3 linked regions of the Elephas maximus indicus genome follow. The protein of the gene in region 1 interacts with the protein of each later gene in a biochemical or structural test. Links are inferred from orthologs where the notes say so. Each region holds a gene or a part of one and is shown on either strand. Other genes may lie near its edges.

Evidence for each region.
Region 2: of the proteins of MCM2 (region 1) and DBF4, one has a biochemical effect on the other in vitro, tested with the Homo sapiens proteins (3 studies listed by BioGRID). The link is inferred for Elephas maximus indicus from reciprocal best matches to the Homo sapiens genes MCM2 and DBF4.
Region 3: of the proteins of MCM2 (region 1) and CDC7, one has a biochemical effect on the other in vitro, tested with the Homo sapiens proteins (8 studies listed by BioGRID). The link is inferred for Elephas maximus indicus from reciprocal best matches to the Homo sapiens genes MCM2 and CDC7.

What each region holds. Positions count from the first base shown.
Region 1 is NC_064838.1:43,133,355-43,140,470, forward strand, and holds the start of MCM2 (DNA replication licensing factor MCM2), read right to left. Parts: upstream 3,005-7,116; 5' UTR 2,921-3,004; coding exon 2,915-2,920; intron 1,906-2,914; coding exon 1,676-1,905; intron 1-1,675. UniProt on the Homo sapiens protein: Acts as a component of the MCM2-7 complex (MCM complex) which is the replicative helicase essential for 'once per cell cycle' DNA replication initiation and elongation in eukaryotic cells.
Region 2 is NC_064826.1:57,941,047-57,947,880, reverse strand, and holds the start of DBF4 (protein DBF4 homolog A), read right to left. Parts: upstream 3,003-6,834; 5' UTR 2,741-3,002; coding exon 2,695-2,740; intron 2,329-2,694; exon of another isoform or gene 2,211-2,328; intron 1,598-2,210; coding exon 1,422-1,597; intron 1-1,421. UniProt on the Homo sapiens protein: Regulatory subunit for CDC7 which activates its kinase activity thereby playing a central role in DNA replication and cell proliferation. Required for progression of S phase.
Region 3 is NC_064821.1:150,943,284-150,951,253, forward strand, and holds the start of CDC7 (cell division cycle 7-related protein kinase), read right to left. Parts: upstream 3,003-7,970; 5' UTR 2,905-3,002; intron 2,877-2,904; exon of another isoform or gene 2,411-2,876; intron 2,262-2,410; 5' UTR 2,185-2,261; coding exon 2,070-2,184; intron 1-2,069. UniProt on the Homo sapiens protein: Kinase involved in initiation of DNA replication. Phosphorylates critical substrates that regulate the G1/S phase transition and initiation of DNA replication, such as MCM proteins and CLASPIN.

The DNA of each region.
Region 1 (7,116 bases):
CACCTCCACCCCAAGGTATTGAGGTGTTTTCGTAAGCACACTACACTAATATTTTCACAGTATCCACCCAAGCCTCCATCAAGTGATGAATGAATAAAACGTAGTCTATCCGTACAATAAAGTATTACTCAGCATTACAAAGGATGCAGTTCTGATATATGGTACACACGGATGAACCTTCAACAAGGTTATGCTACGTGGACGAAGCCAGACACAAAAAATTCCACATTGTTTGATTCCACTTGTATGAAATGTCCCAAACCGGCAACTCTATAGAGAGAAAGTTGATTAGCGGTCGTCTGGGGGTAGGGATAGGCCTTGGGATTAACTGTATACACAGGCAAGGGGGATCTTACTGGGATGATGGGAATGTTCTAAAACTAGGTGGTGGAGATGCACAACCCAGCAAATTTACTAACGAGCACTGAACAGTATGTTTACATGGGGTGAAGTTTATTATATAAATTACGCCTCAATAATGCAGTTTAACACACACACACAACAAAACCAAATTGGGCCCAGCTAGTCTTCAAATAAGGAGCTCTGGTGGCACAGTGTTAAGCACTTGGCTAACCAAGTCGGTGATTCAAACCAACCAGCTGTTCTGCGGGAGAAAACCGCGGCAGTCTGCTTCGTAAAGATTACAGCCTTGGAAACTCAATGGGGGCAGCTCTCCTCTGTCCTACGGGGTCATTACGATGGCAATGGATTTAGTTTTAGTCTTCAGATACCTCTGCCCAGAGGCCACCTATGAGGGCCTCTCTCTCTCCAGAATCACTGAAGAGAATGAGAAGGGTCAAGATACAGACAGCCAATGAAGGGTTGGTGGGTGGCAGGCACCTCCTGCCTGAACACCACCACCGTCAAGAGCGGGGAGCTATCCAGACCTGGCATCCTGGCCTAAGCACAGGACTGATGGATCCAGAGGGTCCTCATTCCTTCCTCGTCGGGCAAGTCCTATACTTGTACCACCTGTGAGGTAGGTTCTACATGTAGTGATGAAAGCAAAACTCCTGTACGTTTAAGAGTGCTTGTGAAAATCCCTCCCATGGCTCACAGAGGGCACCATCCAGGGTTGTGTAATGGCCTGTCCAGTAGTTTCATTCTAAGTTTGGGGACCACTGAATGAGGGTAAAGAAAGACACCAAAGGATAATCTACGCGAGGCTCCTGAAAGAGCACACAATTCTGCCACTAAAGTCTCCACCAAATCCCAGTTGTGAATACAGAATAGGGAAGGAGCAAAAATCTAACCTTGCTCACTTGCAGACTCTACTGTGTCTGAATACTAAGTCCCGACGGCCTTTAATACATGTCGGTATGTTTATTTTTACGAGGGTTAAGTGAGACAAAAAGTGTGGAAGTATCTAACACAGGGCCTGGTACAGAGTATGTCTGCAGGTTGACGCTAAATCTTGATTAATCAGACCCATACATACACTGCTTCTTTGAAAAGTTGCAGAGAAACACACTTGGCTGACTGCTGCTTCCTATCTTTCCAAGTTGCGGCCCCCAATTTAGAAATCCCTTTGCATTTCCTGGGTGCTGATCTCATGCAGGTAGGCTTACCCAGGCCTTAGGGTCTAGTCTTTGTAAGTTAGACACACCAAAGTATGTTAAATAGACCCGAGTTGTAGCTCCATGAACCTGTCTCCCTTGGCCTGGAATAAAAATACCTCTCCATGCCATCTCCGATAAGCTCCTCTCCATCTTCTTCTTCCTCCAGGGGCCCCTCAGTGCCTAGCAGCCCCTCAGACTCATCCTCAAAGGGAGGAAGGTCTCGGCCAGGGCTGGAGGTCAGGGCATCAGTGCGCCGGGAGCTTCGGCCAGGGCTGGAGGTGAGAGGGTCAGTGCCTCGGCGGCGCCTGGCCGGGCTGGACGCCATGGTGAAGGACTCCGATGATTCCTGGAAGATAAGATGCCGCTGTCACAGATGGCCAGGTGAGGGCCGACACAGCTTCCCTTTATCATGAGGGGTGACCTCTCCCATCTCCTCTCCTCTCAGCCTCCCTCTCCACCAGACCTAGTGACACCGTTTTCAAACACATCAAACCTCTTCCACACAAGACCTCTGTACTTGCGGTTCCCTCTGCTGGCACGTCCGCCCTGAGCCTGGGCTGCTCCAGAATTCACATCGCCCTGCGTTTCTCCCCGAGAAATCACTGAGGCTGTCACTTGTTTAGTTACCTGTTTATGGTCTACTTGCTCCCCCTTAATCATGCATTCCACCCATTTGTGCACCCACAACGTGCCAGGAGCTGGAACCCTGCTGGAACCAGTCTGGAGCCACAGGCTGGTGCAGGGGGTGGTCAGCAAGAGAAAAGGTCAAGAAAATATTACAACAGAAAGTGCATGAAGATGCAGAGACCTAGTGGCCTGGTGTATACCCTGGGCCAGGCATGCAGATGGTGCCCAAGAAGCGTATGCGAAATGAATAAATGACAGGGCACGGGCACTGGAGAGCTCGGTCAGGCAGTTCGCTCACGGAGTTCAGCGCTCCCAGGATGGTGCGGGGAACGGGGAGCGCCAGGCGGACTCGAACGTCCGCCCCCGTGCCTTTCAGACCCCGTCAGAGGGGAAGAGAGGGGAGAAGCCTCTCCAAACCTGAGACCAGGGGCCAGGCCTCGGTCTGGGGGACCTGACCCAGGACTGAAGTATGGCAGCGCCTGAGGAGGGCGACACCAGGGGACTAGAAGGCACAACTCCCCCGAGTCTCCCGTGTCCGTTCTTGGTGCTCACCGGCCCCCAGCCGCCCCACTCCGCTCTCAGCCCCCCGTGTAAACGTGCAAGCCTGGCGGAGACGGCTCATTCGCCCCGGTCCCCGCCGCCCCACGCCACGGCCGATCCCCAGGGCAAACGCGCCGGCCCCACGGGCACCACCCGCACGCCCGGGCCCCGCTGGCGCTACAGCTCACCGCCATAGTAGCGCCGCGCTCCTCTCCGCTAAGCCCGCCACCGCCGGTTTCGCGCCAAAAGTGGTGTCACGTGACTCGCCGGAGCCCGGGAAACGCCGTGAATAATGAATATGGCGTGATGACGTCACGGCGTCTACTTGCGTCCAGCTGGCGCGCGTGGGGTGGGCCAGTGAGTCCGGCTCCGCCCCCGTCGGCCGCGGGCCGTGCCGCAGCTTCCGGGAGCAGAGGTCGCCTGCGGGTCGTGTACCAGGGTTGCCCTCGGGCTACACTGACCGCAAAAGATCTGAGAGCTGGGGCAGGGTCTGGGTGCGAGGAGCGCCAGCTCCACCTACTGGCTGCGCGTCCTGGTCAAGTTATGGTAAAAAGCAAGCATGTCACTTTAGGGACTAAAGTGGGCCTGACCCAAGCCGTGGTGTTTTCAATCCTTCAAGCCCCAAAAGCTCGGCAATGAATAAGGAAGAGGGAAGAAGAATTGACGTCTTTGGATTATGGTGTTCTCAAAGAGTATTGAATATACCATGGACCGCCAAGAGAAGAAACCAATCTGTCTTGGAAGAAGCACAGCTAGAAAGCTCCTTAGAAGCAAGAATGGTGAGACTTTGTCTCATATATTTTGGACATGTTATCAGGAGGAGGGATCAGTCCCTGGAGAAGAATATCATGCGTGGTGAAGTAGAGGGTCGGCAAAAAAGAGGAAGACCTCTTTTCTTTCTCTTTTTCACTGACCTCAAAGAGATGCATTGACACAACAAGGGGCAACAAGGGGCTCAAGGATAACAACGTCGCAGTACCGGGCGGTGTTTCCTTCGGTTGTAAATGGGATTGCTATGAGTCGAAACTGGCTGGATGGTGCCTAACAACAGCAACATAGAAGACGCAGCTGGCTCAGAGAGGTTGATCCCTTCAACAAAAGCTTGTTTTCTGAGGCATGTTGTTTGGTGGCACGATGGTTAAGCGCTAGGCTGCTTTGTTGGCAGCTGTGTGTGTAGGATTGTAGGAATCTTAGAAAATAAATAGATTCTCAGGTTCGTCATGCATAAACTCGTTTAGTTTATTGCAAGGCAGTCAAGGCAAGGCATGCAAGCAAGACTGCACAACACTCACTTAGAACCAGAGACTCAGAATTAACGGTTACAATGTTAGTTCAATGATTAGAGTCCAGATCTTTAGACTTCATTCTTTTATCTTTAATGAGAGGGCTCGAGAGGAAGGCTTAACCACAGCAAGAACTCAGTGGAGGGGGCCCCTCGTAGCTAGTAGCTAGGGTCCAAGGTCGGTGGCAGTGGACAGAATCTCAGTTCCGCCTCTGCCTTCGCTCAGTGAGTGAGCAGAAACTTGGAGTTTATAAGTGAATTTGTCACCTTGACACCACAGTGACATCAAAGACTAGTATGTAATGCCGTTTCTTTAGGGTTAGAGAGTAGCCAAGTGACACATCTTTTCTTCAAGGTTCAAGATTGGGGAGGTTGTTTAGATTTATGTTTTCTTGTGTCACAGCATGCCAGGTCAAATGAACTTAAAGGTTGTTTACGTTCTTCCCATACTTCACACACTTCTGTTTCTATGTCTAAGTTCAGAAATTTTCTAAATAACTTTCTTAAGACTTAACACGTTTCTAATGACTTACAGTTAATGTTGGAGCCCTGGTGGTGCAGTGGTTAAGAGCTCTGCTGCTAACCAAAAGGTCAGCAGTTTGAACCCACTGGCTCCTCCTTGGGGCAGTTTTACTCTGTCCTATAGGGTCACTGTGAGTTGGAATTGACTTGACAGCAATGAGTGTATATATAGAGAGAGAGAGACAGAGAAAGATTTATCTCAAGGAAATGGCTCACATGGTTGTAGAGGCTGGCAAGACCCGAGTCCATGGGTCAGGCATCAGGTTGCAGGCTTCTCCTGAGTCACATAGCTGCAGGGGCTGACAATCCCAAGATCAGCAGACAGTACAGCAGGCTGCTGGCTTAAGTCTTAAGAACCAGAGATCAGATTATGACAAGCCAGATGTAGGATCCAAAAGCCAGTGAGCTTTGCCAGAATATCCATATATATTGGATGCAATGTTCCGCTGCTATTCATAAGGTTTTCACTGGCTAATGCTTTTCAGAAGTAGACTGCCGGGTCCTTTTTCCTAGTCTGTCTTAGTCTGGAAGCTCAGCTGAAACCTGTCCTCCATGGGTGACCCTGCTCGTATCTCAATACCGGTGGCATAGCTTCCAGCATCACTGCAACACACAAGCCCCTACAGTATGACAAACTGTTGTGCATAGGGTTGCTATGAGTCGAGTCGGAACCGACTCAACAGCACCTAACAACAACAACAACATTGGATGCAAGTCACACCCCTGAATAAACTCCCTTTACATCTGATTAGCTGATCACATCAGATCATATCATGGAGGTGATAACATTATATCACAAAATGGAGGATAACTACATCATTACATAACTTCCACATTACTTCATACATAACTGCCAAACCACTGAGAATCATGGCCCAGCCAAGTTGACACACAATCTTAACCATTATACATTGCAATAGGGAACAGCAACACGTCCAGTATCTGGCCAGACCACTGAGAATCATAGACTAGCCAAGTTGACACATGAAATTAACCATCACAGTCAGGAATATGGGCACAGCTTAACCTTTGCCTCAAGGTCTCTCACAAGAGACCTTGGCTGGGTTCTCATCTGAAGGCGAGTGGGAGAGGATCTACTTCCAAATTCACTCTTTACGGGAGGAGCCCTGGTGGCACAGTGATTAAGCACTTGGCTGCTAACTGAAAAGTCGGCAGTTTGAACCCACCAGCTGCTCCGAAGGAGAAAGATGTAGTAGTCTGCTTCCATAAAAATTATAGCCTTGGAATTCCTATGGGGCAGTTCTATTCTGTCCTATAGGATCGCTATGACTTGGCATCGACTTGACGGCAGCAGGTTTGCTTTTTTGGTGTACCTGTGGAAAAGGAGCCCTGATGGTGCAATGGTTAAGTGCTCTGCTGCTAACTGAAAGGTCGGAACTTTGAACTATTCAGCAGCTCCATGGGAGAAAAGACCAGAAGATTTGCTCCTGTAAAGATTACAGCTTAGGAAACTTTATGGGGCAGCTCTACCCTGTCATATAGGGCCGCTATGAGTCAGAATCGACTTGAAGGCACACAACATATCTGTGGAAAGGAGTCCCTGGGTGGCATCAGTGGTTAAGAGCTCAACTACTAGCCGAAGCTTGGCGGTTCAAACCCACCCAGAGTTGCCTCAGAAGAGAGACCTTGTGATCTGCTTCCAAAAGGTCACAACCTTGAAAACCCTATGGAGCAGTTTTACCCTGCACGCATGTGGTCACCAGGAGTCAGAATCAACTAGATGACAACTAACAACAATACCTGTGGTGGTAATTCTGTGTGCGGATGGAGTTTTCTTTGTTATTTTAATAAGGTCATATCAGTGTAGGATGTGTTTTAAGCCAATCACTTTTGAGATATAAAAGAGCAGATTAGGCCCGGCAGAAGCTGGGGGGCGGGGGGAGCTGGGGTGGGGGAAGACTCAGAGATGCCCCCTTGTTTACCCGTGACGAGGCCAGACACAGACCTTCCACATTCCCATCCTTTGCCTTGTAAACAATTAGCTGAGCTACTTGTCCCCACTGATCAGTCAGAACACAATGCTTATTAACCAAACTTGGGGTTAATCTTCTTTCGTTACCTCAAGTTCCTAAACTTTGGCTGACCCTCAGCCTGAGCCAATAGCCCTCTGCTAGGGCCCCTCCTAAGAATAGGCTGGCCTCAGTATGAAGCATTCTCTGATTTATTATCTGATCACACCATTCTTTCATCCACTTCTCTATGCCTGTTTTTCTTCGTCATCTAGTGCTGCCATAACAGAAAAACCACAAGTGAATGGCTTTAACAAACAGAAGTTTATTCACTCACAGCCTAGTAGGCTAGAATTCCAAATTCAAGGCATCAGCCCCAGGGAAAGCCTTTCTCTGTCGGCTCTGGAGGATGGTCCTTTTCATCAATCTTCCTGTGGACTAGGCGCTTCTCCGCACAGGTCCAAGTGATACACTCTGCTCCTGGCACTGGTTTCTTGGTGGTATGAGGTCCCCATGTCTCTCTGCTCACTTTTCTCTTTTATATCTCAAAAGAGATTGGCTTAAGGCACTATCTAATCTTGTAGATCTCATCAATATAACTGCCACTAATCCATCT
Region 2 (6,834 bases), on another chromosome or scaffold:
AACACAAGTTTAAAAATCACTGATTTAGACAAGAAGGACTAAAGAGTAATTCATCATTTTTGAAAAATCTGTCACATTATACTAAATAGCTACTTTGTACCATTAGTAGCTAAAGGAACAGAATGGAGCAGTGGTATGTTATTTTGGGAATTAGGAGATTAATCATGCTGTGATGGGGCCATTTAACTTCTCTGGACCTCGGTACTTCATTTCTAAAATGAAAAGGTCTTTACTCAATGTCTAAGGTCCTGAACACATTAAGACATTCCTGACAGGTGGTACAGTCAATATGGTGCCAGGCTTATAAAACATGACCTTTAGGAATGCAGCCATATGGTCATTATGATACATGCAACTATTATACAAGCCTGTGACAATGTTTTAGTTTAACAAAATGAATAGCAAAAAAGTAGTTAGAATAACTTTTCAAAGATAGATAAGTAAAATATCACATCAACACAAAATTTCAAGAAACTTGTTACACATTCTTGTTCAAACTTCTAGTCTGCGAACAACAGACTCTATTCAGAAAACTTTTATTCAAAGATGGTGACCTTAAGAAACTCAGTCCAGCAGAAACAAATCTTTTAAACAGAAAGACATAAGAAATAAATTAATAAAATCACAACAGCCTCACTTACTAAAATTCACCCAATATTAACCCAGGTCCTAAGAAAAATCTGAGAATTTTGTCCATGTTTTATAATTTCCTAATCATCTAAACAAAGAGCCCTATGGTACAATGGCTAAACACTCAGCTACTAACTGAAGGGTTCCTCCCATAAAGATTACAGCCTAGAAAACCCTATGGGGTAGTTCTATTGTGTCACACGGGGTTGCTATGAGTTGAAAAGCGACTCACAGCACCTAACAACAGCAATAATCATCTAATCAATGTGCAATGTAGGAAATAAATAGGTTTTTCAGGTTCTTAATTCAAAATTGTTCCCTTAATGACATTCATTCTGTTGAGACAATATCCCTCAAAAGCAATTTTAACACTGTGGTTTGAACTGGTCTTCTGTGTCCTGTAGTAACATACTTACTGTTATACTACTCCATACAAATTTATGCAGCTCCCCAATAAACATAATCAAGGAGTTCTTGTCATTTGGAGGGCATCCCGACATTACAGTAAGATAATCGGCGGTTCCATTAGGATAAGGGAGTCTCCTTTCTCAAAATTTGGGAACTTTACACTAGGCTACAAACGACAGAGATCTGAAAGTTTTGTCAAGCTACAAAAGTTAATTTTTTTTTTTTTCCCAGCAATAATAAGAAGCTGATAAAAAGTTTAAGCTTGGGCTGACAGATTTTTACAAGTTTTTCAAAGTGAGGATTTTAAATGACTGCGTATTACATTAAAAAGTACTAGTTACAATTTTTTTCCTTGTTTGTCAAAGTGTGTGGTTTTAACTTACCCCGCCTAGATCTTTAATGTCTTTTTGCAGTTTTTCAGATATTGAGACAGAAGGTAAGTCAAGGTAAAATACTTTCCCCCAAAGTGGCTTGTATTTGAATTTTTCTGGTTTGTTGCTGTCAGTTTTCAGAGACTTCAGAGATGGTCTGTTTTTTTCATTATTGACTTGGATTCCACCTGTTATTAAACATGTTTAGGATTAGATCATGTTTTATGCAAACAGAAAATGTTCTATTATTAAATAATTATTTATTTACAGAAAAGTCTCGATCAGCAGGAAATTTTTTTTCACTAAGGCACAGAACTATAAAAAACCTTTTACAAAGATTTTCCTCCTTCGAATGTGAACGCCATGAGTATTCATGCAACAAATATTTATTGAGCATCTGCTCTTCTGTTGAACACTCAAAACTTGCACTTAAAGTACTAAACACTTAGTTATGCAGAAAACTTCTGTTACCCAGAATGACTTTGTCCTCAAGGGTTCATGACTATCGGAGTTTTAGTTTCATATACAGTTTGTGTATTATGAACTATTAAGGGTCAGTGCAAGAACCAGTCACCATTCACTTCATTATTTCCACTGAAAACGAAACTGAGATTCAAGGAAATGCTTTAAAAATTAACTTTTAGAACACAATCTCTTCATAAATTCATATACATATTAAAAAAGAAAAACTTAGAGACTGGAATGTTTCACCAAATAAGTGATGGAAAATGGAAACGCACTTTTGTTTCCTATTTGTCCATAACGTTGGAAACAATGTGTTTGAAATACACTTCCGCTTACCTTTAAGAGCGAAGAAAAATAAACTTAAGACCAAAAATCCACCCACAATCACCCCAATCTGTTCATGAAGTGAAAAGCCACAAACACGTCTGTCTTTAAATTGAGGGCTGAGTCTGCAGCTTCAGAGGGCCTGAGCCGAGTCTCAGCGTCTGTGGGACGGCCGGGAAGGAGGCACCGCAGTACCCCGGCAAGTTCTGGGGTCCGCACATCGTTCCCTAGTTTTACAACCAACCGAAGACCCGGAATCTGGGGCTTGCTGGGCATGGAGGGCGCACGGGCTGGGCCGGACCCCGGACCCTTTCTGTGGCAAAACCTTGAACGGAGCCTTCCTTCAGGCCACGTCTCCACAAAGAAGAAAGGAAGGCCGCAAAAGCTGGAAAAGAAAATAAGTGGACCGGACAAGAAAACTCTGAGGGATCAATGGTGGAGTCATTGAAGGAAGAAGAGGATTAAATGGCCTGCGGGCGGAGGAGGGGCTTCGTACCCTGGAAATGTCCTTTGCCGTGGATCCTCATGGCTCCGGAGTTCATGGCAGCCACCCGGCACCTACATGCTGGGTCCGGAGATGGTGTCGCGCCGGACTGCCGGGAAAACACGGCTCCTTCGGTCCTGTGACAGGCTCGCTACTTCCTTCGTTCCGCGGTCAGCGGCCACCTCGCAGTAGAGATGCCGCGTCTACGGGCCGGGCCTCCAAGGCCGAATCCGGCTCCAAGGCGCGGAAGAGAAACGGGCGAAGCACAAGCGAGTGGGCTGCGGCGGTTGAAGATTTGAAAACGCGTCACGCAGCCGCGGCGCCGATACGCGCGCCCCGCCCTCCCTGACGCTGCGCGCCGCGCCCCGCCCCCACGTGCCCGTCTCCTCTTGTCCCGCCCCCGTAGTGCCCGCTTTCTCGCGGCACTCGACCCGATCCTCTCGTGCCCGCTTCCTCGGGTCGCGCGGCCGCTCCTCTTGTGCCCGCCTACTCTTGCCCGCTTCCGCTCACCTGGCGCCCCGACCCCGTCGTGCCCCCTTCTCGCTCCCCGAGCCCCGCCCCTGTCGTGCCCGCCCCCTCGCGCCGCGCGCCCCGCCCCCACGGGTCGCGTCTCCGCCCCCTCTCGTCCCCCAGTGCGATGTCCTCTGTGCAGCAGGCCGGGTCCTCGCGCAGCCTTCTGGAGTCCTGGTGGCTGCGTATTGACTAACCCTAGTGAATGCGGTTAGCGTTGGAGACTTTCCCAGGCTGCCGCCAGGGTCATTCCCATTTTTTAGAGTTGCCTGGATCGCCTGCCCTCCAGCCGCCTCCTCCACCAGGTACGCTCATTTCCCACCGGTCGGATGCCGGAGAGGCAAGCCGCACTGTGGCTGCGGCCGATCCCAGACTCAGCCTGGGGCCGGGGCCGGAGCCGGGGCCGGAGCCGGAGCCGGAGCCGGAGCCGGGGCGGGGCCGGGGCCGGAGCCGGGGCCGGGGCGGGGCCGGGGCCGGAGCCGGAGCCGGAGCCGGGGCCGGAGCCGGAGCCGGAGCCGGAGCCGGATGGCGAGAGGCCCTACTATCTGCGCTTCGGGTTGCAGAGCGTAGTTTTCCCGCGGTTGCCTCTGAGCCCTCCGACTTAGGGACAGGCTGCGGAGGGACTTCCCAGGATGAAAGGGGTGTAGGAGCGAGGGCCCGGCCAGGTGGCCCCCAGCCCTGACTGAAAAGCCGATCCATAGCGCCTTCAGGTTGATTTGTGCCATTTGGCACTTGACTGTGGCCTGCTCTTTTGACGTTTTCTGTGCGCAGGTTTCTGTTTTCGTAATATTTTGTGTAAGTTTATGTCAACAATAATGGAAAGGGAGTATAATCTGAAAACTCAAGTCTGGGGTTCTCGACCGACTATTTCCCAGCTATGGTAGTGAGACTTTGGTTAAATTACCTAATCACCATGAGTCTCAGTTTTCTCGTTTGTAAAACAGGCATAATTGGTTTGTGGTAAGAATTAAAATGTTTGTGAAAGAGTACCTTGTAAATGGGAAAAATGTTTCACACACACGCAAAGTCAATTGGGGGTGGTATGTTCTTTCTTGGAAACTTCCTAAGGAGGACGATGATGGTATATTGTACTACTTTGCATTCCTTTATAGCTCTTGGCCCTAATAGGCACTCACTGTTTAATAGCTGATTTTTACTTAGCAGCTCAAGAAAGTTAAAGAGTGCCAGTAGCATCGTTTTGCAAATTGGCACCTTAAGACGGGGTAGATTGTGATACCTTTAGCCAAAATGGAGAACACAAGAAGTGGATCACGTTTGCTGAGGGAAATGAGAGTTTTGTTTTGAACAGTTTTAGGTTGAAGGGCCTGGGGAGATAATCATGAAGTTAGACAGTTGGAGATATTTGTCCAACTTGGGAGAGAGGTCTGAGCTACAGAGAGAGGGAGAAAGATTGATTGTTTGAGAGACTGATTTCAAAGACATGCGGACTGGTCACTGATTCTTGTCATGGGGTAATGCATAAGAAGTTATCAGATCTTGAGAGGTGGGAGGAGGTTAATTTGAAAAAACATTCAACATTATATATTTTTTATTTGGAAAAATCTATTTTCAAATAACTACAGAAAAATCACAGGATTTTTATGTTTATTGAAATTTTTTAAAGGCTGAGAAACAGTAATATGGAATGTAGTTGAAACTATGGAAGGAGATTAAATTGTCCAGAAGAGCATGTGAAATAAGAAGGGAAGTGGCGATGAGCAGAGGATGATCGCATAATGAAAGAGATGGAGAAAAGGACAGAGAACTGGGAACAAAACTTATCTTCAGAAGCTACAGAGAACTGCAAATATTGAAATCATACAGGCTTCACTAACTATATGGCCTTAGGTAATTTTGAGCCTTAATTTTAATCTGTGAAAACGGGGTAATAATACTTCTCAGAATTGTTGTGAAGATCAAATGAGTCATTTTAGAAAGCTTAATTTAAATTCGTACAATGCGTAGCACAGAGTAAGAGCTCAGTTAAGTGCTGTCATGCTGGTGAACTCCACACCAGCCCTTCCATTGCTTGAAAAATAGGCCTTTGACTTTGTGTTTAAGATGTTATCGGTTTCCTCAGTGACAATTTCAGTAGGTGCAGGAGGTGGAACTAGCTAAGACTGATGGGCTTGAAGTGAGAGAGTATACCAGTTCAAAAAAATTTGTCAAGGTAGAGAAGTATAGTAATGGGGAAGGTAGTTTCGGATCTTTGGAAGTTTTAGGAGGTGTGGGAAAGATTTAAGCCTGTCCCTGTGTAAGGGGAGAAAAAACGGAAGCCTAGTTTCTGTTCTAGTGAAAGCTGAGTTACCTTGCTTATCTACTGTAATGGGGAATGACAGTAACATAGTCGTACCCTATGCTTTTAGCATACCCTTGACTGCACTCTAGGTGATAATGCCAAGATATGCATAAGTGGAAAGTCTGCCTTAATAGATAGTGTTAATAAGTTTGTAGACTGTAACCTGAGGTTAATTTTGAGAAATACTACTTTTGGAATCCAATTCTTTTAGAAGCCACAGGAAGAAGGACTTGGCCAATAAGGGTAGAAATCTCCTTACATAGCATATCAATAATTTGGTCTGTTGGTAAAAGTATAAGGTTTATGTTAAAGTCAATCTTGAAAATGTACAATCAAAAGAGTCCTTCAGATGAAAGGTATATATTCAAGAAGAAAAGACTGTCCTATAGGGTCTACTCTGTCCAATATGGTCACTGTGATTTGAAATCAACTCAACAGCAACAGGTAAGTAGGATATAGAATGAAGAAGAGACATAGAAAAGAGGAATTTCACAGGGAGTTGTTGAGGGAGGAGCGTATTGCAGAACATTTCTTTAAGAGGAGTGATTGATTTGCTTTCATAAAAATACTTTACATTCTGAGGTTACAGGAGAGCCAAAAGATATTAATGCTAGAATGGTCTCTCCCACTAGCCTATGTGCTCTCTGAAGAAGGGACAATGCCCCGCACATTGAAGAATGAAAAGACGGAAAGCAGAAAGTATGTTAATAGGGCTGTAGGGAATTTAGAGCAGTAGAGACTACATTTTGAGTTCTAGGCAATCCACTAAGATTTTTCTCAGTTTTTCTCCATCTCCCCTCAAGTCTTTGGTTATGTTGTCAATTTTCCACATTTTTCTTTGGATAAGATGAAAAGGAGACTGTCTTGGCTATCTAGTACTGCTATAACAAAAATACCACAAGTGGATGGTTTTAACAAAGTGAAATTTATTTTCTCACAGTCTACTCGGTTACAAGTCCAAATTCAGGGCGTCGGCTTCAGGGGAATGCTTTCTTTTTCTGTCGGCTCTGGAGGAAGGTCTTTGTCCTCAATCTTATCTTGTTCGAAGGGCTTCTCAGGTGCAGGGACCCCGTGTCCAAAGGACATGCTCTGCTTCTGGTGCTGCTTTGCGGTGGTATGAGGTTCCCCACTCTCTGCTTGTTTCCCTTCCCCTTTATCTCTTGAGAGATAAAAGGTGGTGCAGGCCACACCCCAGGGAAACTCCCTTTACCTTGGATCGGGGAAGTGACCTGAGTAAGGGTGGTGTTACAATCCCACCCTAATCCTCTCAACATAAAATTACAATCACAAAATGGAGGACAACCACACAATACTGGGAATGATGGCCTAACCAAGTTGATACA
Region 3 (7,970 bases), on another chromosome or scaffold:
AATCAGATTCATCCTTTGCACCCTGCCTAGGACACAACATAAGTCAGTAGCTATGGGAGACACTGTCTTCAAGGAGCTTATAGTATACATTGAAGAGATTCAAAATACAGGAATAACAACACAAGGCAGTGCACAATGATGTGGCAAATGATTAATAAGGCTGAATTGTTAAATACAGGTAATCTTAAGAAAAATGGAAGAGGAACACCATTCATTCAACTGGACAAAAGGGGCATTTTAAGATTATTAGTACCAGTGTATGAGATGAACTGGAGTGTGGAAAGGAAGTGAAAGCAGGCAGTTTAGGTAAGAAACTTCATTACAATTAAGGAGCAATGTGATAAAGGGATGAATTAATGTGGTGGCAGAGGGAATGGAGAGGCAATGCTATACACATTAAAAAGAAAGAAGACAATGCTGGGTGAACTAGATTAGGAAGCAAATACAAAGCATTAACTCCGTAACAACTCTACAGTTTTGAGCATAGGTAACCTGGATTCATCACCAAAATTAGGGAACCCACGAAATGTACTCATTTTGAGACCAAAAATGAGCTTACTTTCAGTCAGGAAGCATAAGTATACACTGAGCATGGACAAAAGGCCAAAACTAATCGGCTTTGGACAAACACTAAATTCACTTAAAAGAAAGATGGAAAAGACTTAGCCAGCTTTTAAGGAAAAAAAAAAAATAATAATAACAGTTAACTGGAACTCCTCCATTTAACAAATATTTACTGAATGCCTACTATGTCCCAGGCACTGTGCTAAAACAGGAATGAAGACAAACATTTTAGTGTACAAGACTAGATATTGTTTGACCCTCTCCTCCTCACCCCAAGGTCTGGGATAAATTCAAACAATGCTTCATGATACACACTGAGATACATTGTTGTTAGCTGCCATGACAGTTTAATGGAGAATTGTCTTCCAACATGTACAGGTGTTCAATAAAAATGATGCTTAACAGATTTAGTAACAGACATGTTCAGATGAGACCATAATTTTCTTCTTCCCCCACCAAAGCACTTGGAGTGGCAGGAAAAGAGCAAAAATATATTACTTGGAACACATTTTTATTCAAATAGATTAACAATCAAGTAAATTATACTGTATTTTTCAATAAAATCTAGGATTGTTGTTGTTAGCTGACATGCAATCAGCCCCCAATTTATAATGGCCCATGTACAACAGTAACAAAATGCCGCCCAGTCCTGTGCCATCCCCATGATTGACTACGGATCAGGCCACTGTGAACCACAGAGTTTTAACTGGCTGATTTTCTGAAGTAGGCCTTTCTTCCTAGTCTGTTTTAGTCTGGAAGCTCTGCTGAAACCTGTTCATCATCACAGCAACATGCAAACATTCGCTGTGCTGACAGGAATGGTGGCTGCATATGCGGTGCAATCAAACCAAGGTCTCTTGCATGGAAGGCAAGAATTCTACCACTGAGCCACCACTGGGTGCGGCCGGTGCTCCCACAGGTTTTGTGCTTTATTGTTGCTACAAACATTTCATGTATTTGTGTCAGTGAATTCTGCCTCTGAATACTTTAGTAAAGATCCCTCCAGTGTCAAGCTTAAGACAATACAGTGAGAAGAGATAAGACCATAGGTCTAGGAAGAGGCAAATTCTAGGTTGGGCATTAACAAACTTGGTGTTATCAGGCAGTCACTAACGTTTAGACTTTGGAGCCCTGGTGGTACAGTGGTTAAGAGCTCTTCCGCTAACCAAAAGGCTGGCAGTTCAAATCCACCAGCTGCTCACTGGAAACTCTACGGGGCAGTTCTATTCTGTTCTATAGTGTTGCTATGAGTTGGAAAAGGCTCGGTGGCAATGGGTAATTGTTCAGACTTTAGCAACTTCATCTGTACAATGACAAAACAGGATTACAATCCTCTTTCTAAACTGCAATCCAATCCTAAATCTAGATCTTATAAAGCTTTACTGATTTGTAAAATGTTCCTACGCAAATATACAACTCACTTTAAAGATTCGAGTTATTTTTTTTTTAAAGCAACAAACTCAGAATTGTTACCTCTAAGTACATCTTTGGAATGAAACACATACCTGGAAGTTTAAAACTCTGCTCATCTTTTTTTAACGAGCCATCAACCTGAAGCCGGTTACACGGGGGAGAAAAGGCCACTGGCTCATCCATCTGAATCCCCAAAGACGCCTCCATCACAAAACTGGGATGTAAAGTGCCAGCTAAGAGGTCATGTCCACAGGGGTAGCAAAGCAGCTGGGAAAATTAGAATGCTAGAGAAGATGAGAAATTTAAATCACTCACCGAAGCAAGCACCAAAAAATGCCACTGTCTCCAAAGGGACAAACATTTAAAAGCACTGTATGTTCAAATCCCCAAAGAGAAACTGTGAACTATTTCTAAGGATTCCATTTGCTTTTACCTTCACCTCCCAGAAATCCCGGCAGGGGGCCGAAGGGAGAATGTCATGTCGGGGGACATCAGCAGCTGGCGGCGATGGGAAGGGTGGTGGGGAACTGCTGACGTTTGTATTTGGGCGTGGAAGGGGTGCCCGGAGCGGTTTGACCTGAGGAAGGGGACTGAAGGAGGAAACTGTGACCACTGAGACGGAACTCCAGGAAGCTAGTACGGGGACTCACGCGAGTTGGCAGAGAACTCATACGGCCACGAGCCACTAGCGGCGGGCGGAGGAAGGGAATGGGCAATGAATGGACATTATCCGGCCGCGAGCTCAGTAGGGCAGGACCTTCCGCTCAGACCAGAGACGAAGCGGATGCTTAGTGCGCAGACGCGCAATTTTCCCGCCGCAGGCCAGCGGGACCAGAAGGGGTGGGGGTACTGCACTGCGACAAGACTAGCCACGAATTCCGAATTCATTTCTAGTCCCTCAGAAAGAACAAACCGTTGGAAACTCACGGTTTAAGGGAGTACGACTTCCGTGGCTCCCCACATGCCTGGGTCGCCGGCTCCCGGCTCTCCCCACTTAGCAGCTGGCCAAACGCGCCTGCGCTAGACTTCCCGCCGCGCTGTTTCAATTGCGCATGCGCACTGGAAAACTTTAGGCGCTTGCGCAGCAAGGTTAGGTTTCTTCCCCCAAGGCCGTTGCTAGCTGCTACTTGGCTAGAAGAGCGATTATAGAAATAAAATCTGAGGTTAATCGTTTACTAAAAAATAGAGTGAACCATTAGGTTAAGGGTCCAACACTATTTTCAGGAAAGACTATAGTTCAGAAAAAGGAAAGCCTCAGGCTCTGGAGTCTTGACACATTTCTCCATACCGTAGCCACACCAAGGCATGGGCAGCCTGGATTAAAGACGTGTACTTTGTCGCTCTTTTACTTCCTTTCCGTTGAGTGCTCTGCCTTTCCGGTAAAAATACACAAACGCAAAATGCCAATTCCTGATTGTTTATGACTATTCACAGAAATAAGTACAGTTGGCGCTCATTTAGCATATATTTATTGAGTGCTTGACTATGAGGTAGGCAGGTGAACAAGGTAGACAATAAAAAAAAAATAGTCGACACTTAATGAGGCTAAATTCTAGTGAGGCGATGACAAATGAATAAAATTCTTACAGATAGTGATGAGCGCCCCAAAGAAATAAAAAAGGAGAAAGAGCAGTTTCAGAGATGTAATAAGGCAGAAAGACTAGAGTGTTTTGAGGAACGAAAGATGTTCTTGAGGTTTTGTTTTTGTCTTAGAGGGGGAAGGGAGTGGTGAACAGTAGAGATTGATCTAGTAGAGAAAGAAATTGTTGATGTGGGAGAAAAAGGGAATACCTACAGGAATGAAGTTATCAAGGAGGATGAAGGGATGGATTCAAAGCACATGGAGGGGGATATGCCTTTGAAATGAACCCAGATTACCATCCTTTTAACGGCAGGAAAAGAAGAGAAGGATTCAGACGCAGGTGATTTTTGTATGGGTTGGAAAATAAGTTCTTACCTGATCGTATCAGTTTTCTTAATAAAATATGAGCTGAGAGAAAGGCAGGAAGGGGTATTAGAAGTCGGAGGAGCGAGAAAAAGTTCTGAAGTATCTTCTGAGTGAGAATGTGAACTGGGAGAAAGATTATGACATTGGCATCAGGGTTCTCAAGTAACTTTCAGGCCAAGAGAATGCAGACATGGAAAACATAGGTGGATTTAACACTTCGCACAGAGGGAGTGCAAGTCAGGGTATTTACAAGGAAGTGGTTGTAATGATGCATCATGGAATCCAGGAGGCTAGGAGGAATGGTGATAGGGAAGTTGGTAGAAAGATAAAAGTCAGGAGAACAATGGATTGGAAATCAGTATGTAATCTAAGAATTTGTATAATGGAGGTATGAGTTATAAAGGTAAGGGTGGTGCATAAGATGGTGAAAGTTGGGGTTTCAGAGATAAGATCATTGGAGAGGATAGCTAAAATTGTTGGAGGAAAAGATTCATTTTGGTGTGAAAAGTTAAGATTATTCTAACTCCAAAACCCATGCACAGGCCACCACTGAGATACCAGTTATTTTACCTAATCCACTTTCTCCCCAGACAGTAAGTAATCCCCTCCCCTGATCCCCATTAGTACTTTTTGCAGCGAACAGGCATAGGCAAGAAATTCAGAATCCTGGACCCCACCTCAGACCTACTGAATCAAAATCTGCATTATAAAAGACCCTCAGGTGATTTGCATGAATTTTACATTTTGAGAAGCACTGTTCTAGAACACGGGTGCTCAACCTTGGCTGCACTTTAGAATCACCTGAGGAGCTGTTAAAAATTCTGAAGCCCAGGCTGCACCCCAGAACAATTATAACAGAACTTCTGGGTGTGAGATCCAAGGACCAGCATTTTTTATATATATATACTTTTTATTGTGCTTTAACTGAAAGTTTACAAATCACGTCAGCCTATCACACAAAAACCCATATACACCTAGCTACACACTCCCAATTACTCTCCCCCAAATGAGACAGCCAGCTCTCTCCCTCAGCTCTCTCTTTTCATGTCTGTTTCGCCAGCTTCTAACCCCCTCCACCCTCTCATCTCCTCTCCAGGCAGGAGATGCCAACATAGTCTCAAGTGTCCACCTGATCCAAGAAGCTCACTCCTCACCACCATCCCTCTCCAACCCATTGTCTAGTCCAATCCATGTCTGAAGACTTGGCTTTGGGAATGGTTCCTGTCCTGGGCCAACAGAAGGTCTGGGGGCCATCACCACGGGCGTCCTTCTAGTCTCAGTCAAACCATTAAGTCTGGTCCTATGAGAATTTGGGGTCTGCATCCACTGCTCTCCTGCTCCCTCAGGGGTTCTCTGTTGTGTTCCCTGTCAGGGCAGCGTAGCTGGGCACCATCTAGTTCTTCTGGTCTCAGGTTGATGTAGTCTCTGGTTTATGTGGTCTTTTCTGTCTCTTGGGCTTGTAATTACCTTGTATCCTTGGTGCTCTGCATTCTCCTTTGATCCAGGTGGGTTGCAACCAATTGATGGACCTTAAATGGCCGCTTGCTAGCGTTTAAGACCCCAGACACCACTTTCCAAAGTGGGATGCAGAATGTTTTCTTAACAGATTTCATTATGCCAAGATGTCCCCTGAAACCATGGTCACCAGAACCCTGCCCCTGCTATACTGGCTTTCGAAGCATTCAGTTTATTCAGGAAACTTCTTTGCTTTTGGTTTAGTCCAGTTGTGCTGACCTCCCCTATATTGTGTGCTGTCTTTCCCTTTGCCTAAAGTAGTTCTTATCGACTATCTAATTAGTGAATGCCCCTCTCCCAGCCTCCCTCCCTCCCCCGTCTCGTAACCACAAAAGAATGTTTTCTTCTCAGTTTAAACTATTTCTCAAGTTCTTATAATAGTGGTCTTATACAATATTTGTCCTTTTGCAACTGACTAATTTCACTCAGCGTAATACTTTCCAGGTTCCTCCATGTTATGAAATGTTTCACAGATTCCTCACTGTTCTTTATCCATGCGTAGTATTCCATTGTGAATATACCGTAATTTATTTATCCATTTCATCCGTTGATGGGCACCTTGGTTGCTTCCATCTTTTTGCTATTGTAAACAGTGCTGCAATAAATATGGGTGTGCATATATCTGTTCTTGTAAAGGCTCTTATTTCTCTAGGATATATTCTTATTCTACTCTGTCCTATAGGGTCGCTATGAGTCGGAATCGATTCGACGGCAGTGGTGGTTTTATATTCCAAGGAGTGGGATTGCTGGATCGTATAGTAGTTCCATTTCTAGCTTTTTAAGGAAGTGCCAAATCAATTTCCAAAGTGATTGTACCATTTTACATTCCCACCAGCAGTGTATAAGTGTTCTAGACTCTCCACATCCTCTCCAATATTTATTATTTTGTGTTTTTTGGATTAATGCCAGCCTTGTTGGAGTGAGATGGAATCTCATTGTAGTTTTGATTTGCATTTCTCTAATGGCTAATGATCGTGAGCATTTCCTCATGTATCTGTTAGCTACCTGAATGTCTTCTTCAGTGAAGTGTCTATTCATGTCCTTTGCCCATTTTTTAATTGGGTTATTTGTCTTTTTGCAGTTGAGTTTTTGCAGTATCATGTAGATTTTAGAGATCAGATGCTGATCAGAAATGTCATAGCTAAAAACTTTTTCCCAGTCCATAGGTAATCTTTTTACTCTTTTGGTGAAGTCTTTGGATGAGCAAAGTCTTTGGATGATTTTTAGGAGCTCCCACTTACCTAGTTTTTCTTCTACATTCTTTATAGCGTTTTGTATACTGCTTATGCCATGTATTAGGGCTCCTAACGTTGTCTATATTTTTTCTTCCATGGTCTTTATCATTTTAGATTTTATATTTAGGTCTTTGATCCATTTCGAGTTAGTTTTTGTGCACGGAGTTTTTTGCAGATGGATATCCAGTTATGCCAGCACCATTTGTTTAAAAAAGACGGTTAAGACTGTCTTTTTCCCATTTAACTGTTTTGGGGCCTTTGTCAAATACCAACTGCTCATATGTGGATGGATTTATGCCTGGATTCTCAGTTCTGTTCCATTGGTCCATGTATCTGTTGTTGTACCAGTACCAGCCTGTTTTGACTACTGTGGCGGTATAATAGGTTCTAAAATCAGGTAAAGTAAGGCCTCCCACTTTCTTCTTCTTTTTCAGTAATGCCTTATTTATCCAGGGCCTCTTTCCCTTCCATATGAAGTTGGTGATTTGTCTCTCCATCTCATTAAAGAATGTCGTTGGGATTTGAATCGGAATTGGATTAAATGTATAGATCACTTTTGGTAGAACATTTTTATAATGTTAAGTCTTCCTATCCACGAGCAAGGTACGTTCTTCCACTTATGTAAGTCTCTTTTGGTTTCTTGCAGAAGTGTACTGTAGTTTTCTTTGTATAAGTCTTTTACATCTCTGGTAAGATTTATTCCTAAGTATTTTATCTTTTGGGGGGCTACCGTAAATGGCATCGATTTGGTGATCTCCTCTTTGATGTTTTTTTGTTGGTGTAGAGGAATTCAACTGGTTTTTGTATGTTTATCTTGTATCCCGATACTCTGCTGAACTCTTCTATTAGTTTCAGTAGTTTTCTGGAGGATTCCTTAGGGTTTTCTGTGTATAAGATCATGTCATCTGCAAATAGAGATACTTTTACTTCTTCCTTGCCAATCTGGATGTCCTTTATTTCTTTATGTAGCCTAATTGCTCTGGCTAGGACTTCCAGCACAATGTTGAGTAAAGGTGGTGACAAAGGGCATCCTTGTCTGATTCCCGATCTCAAGGGGAATGTTTTCAGGTGATATTAGCTGTTGGCTTTGTATAAATGCCCTTTATTATGTTGAGGAATTTTCCTTCTATTCCTATTTTGCTGAGAGTTTTTATCATGAATGAGTGTTGAACTTTGTCAAATGCCTTTTCTGTACCAGTTAATGAAATCATGTGATTCTTGTCTTTTGTTTTATTTATGTGGTGGATTACATTAATTGTTTTCCCAATGTTGAACCATCCCTGCATACCTGGTAT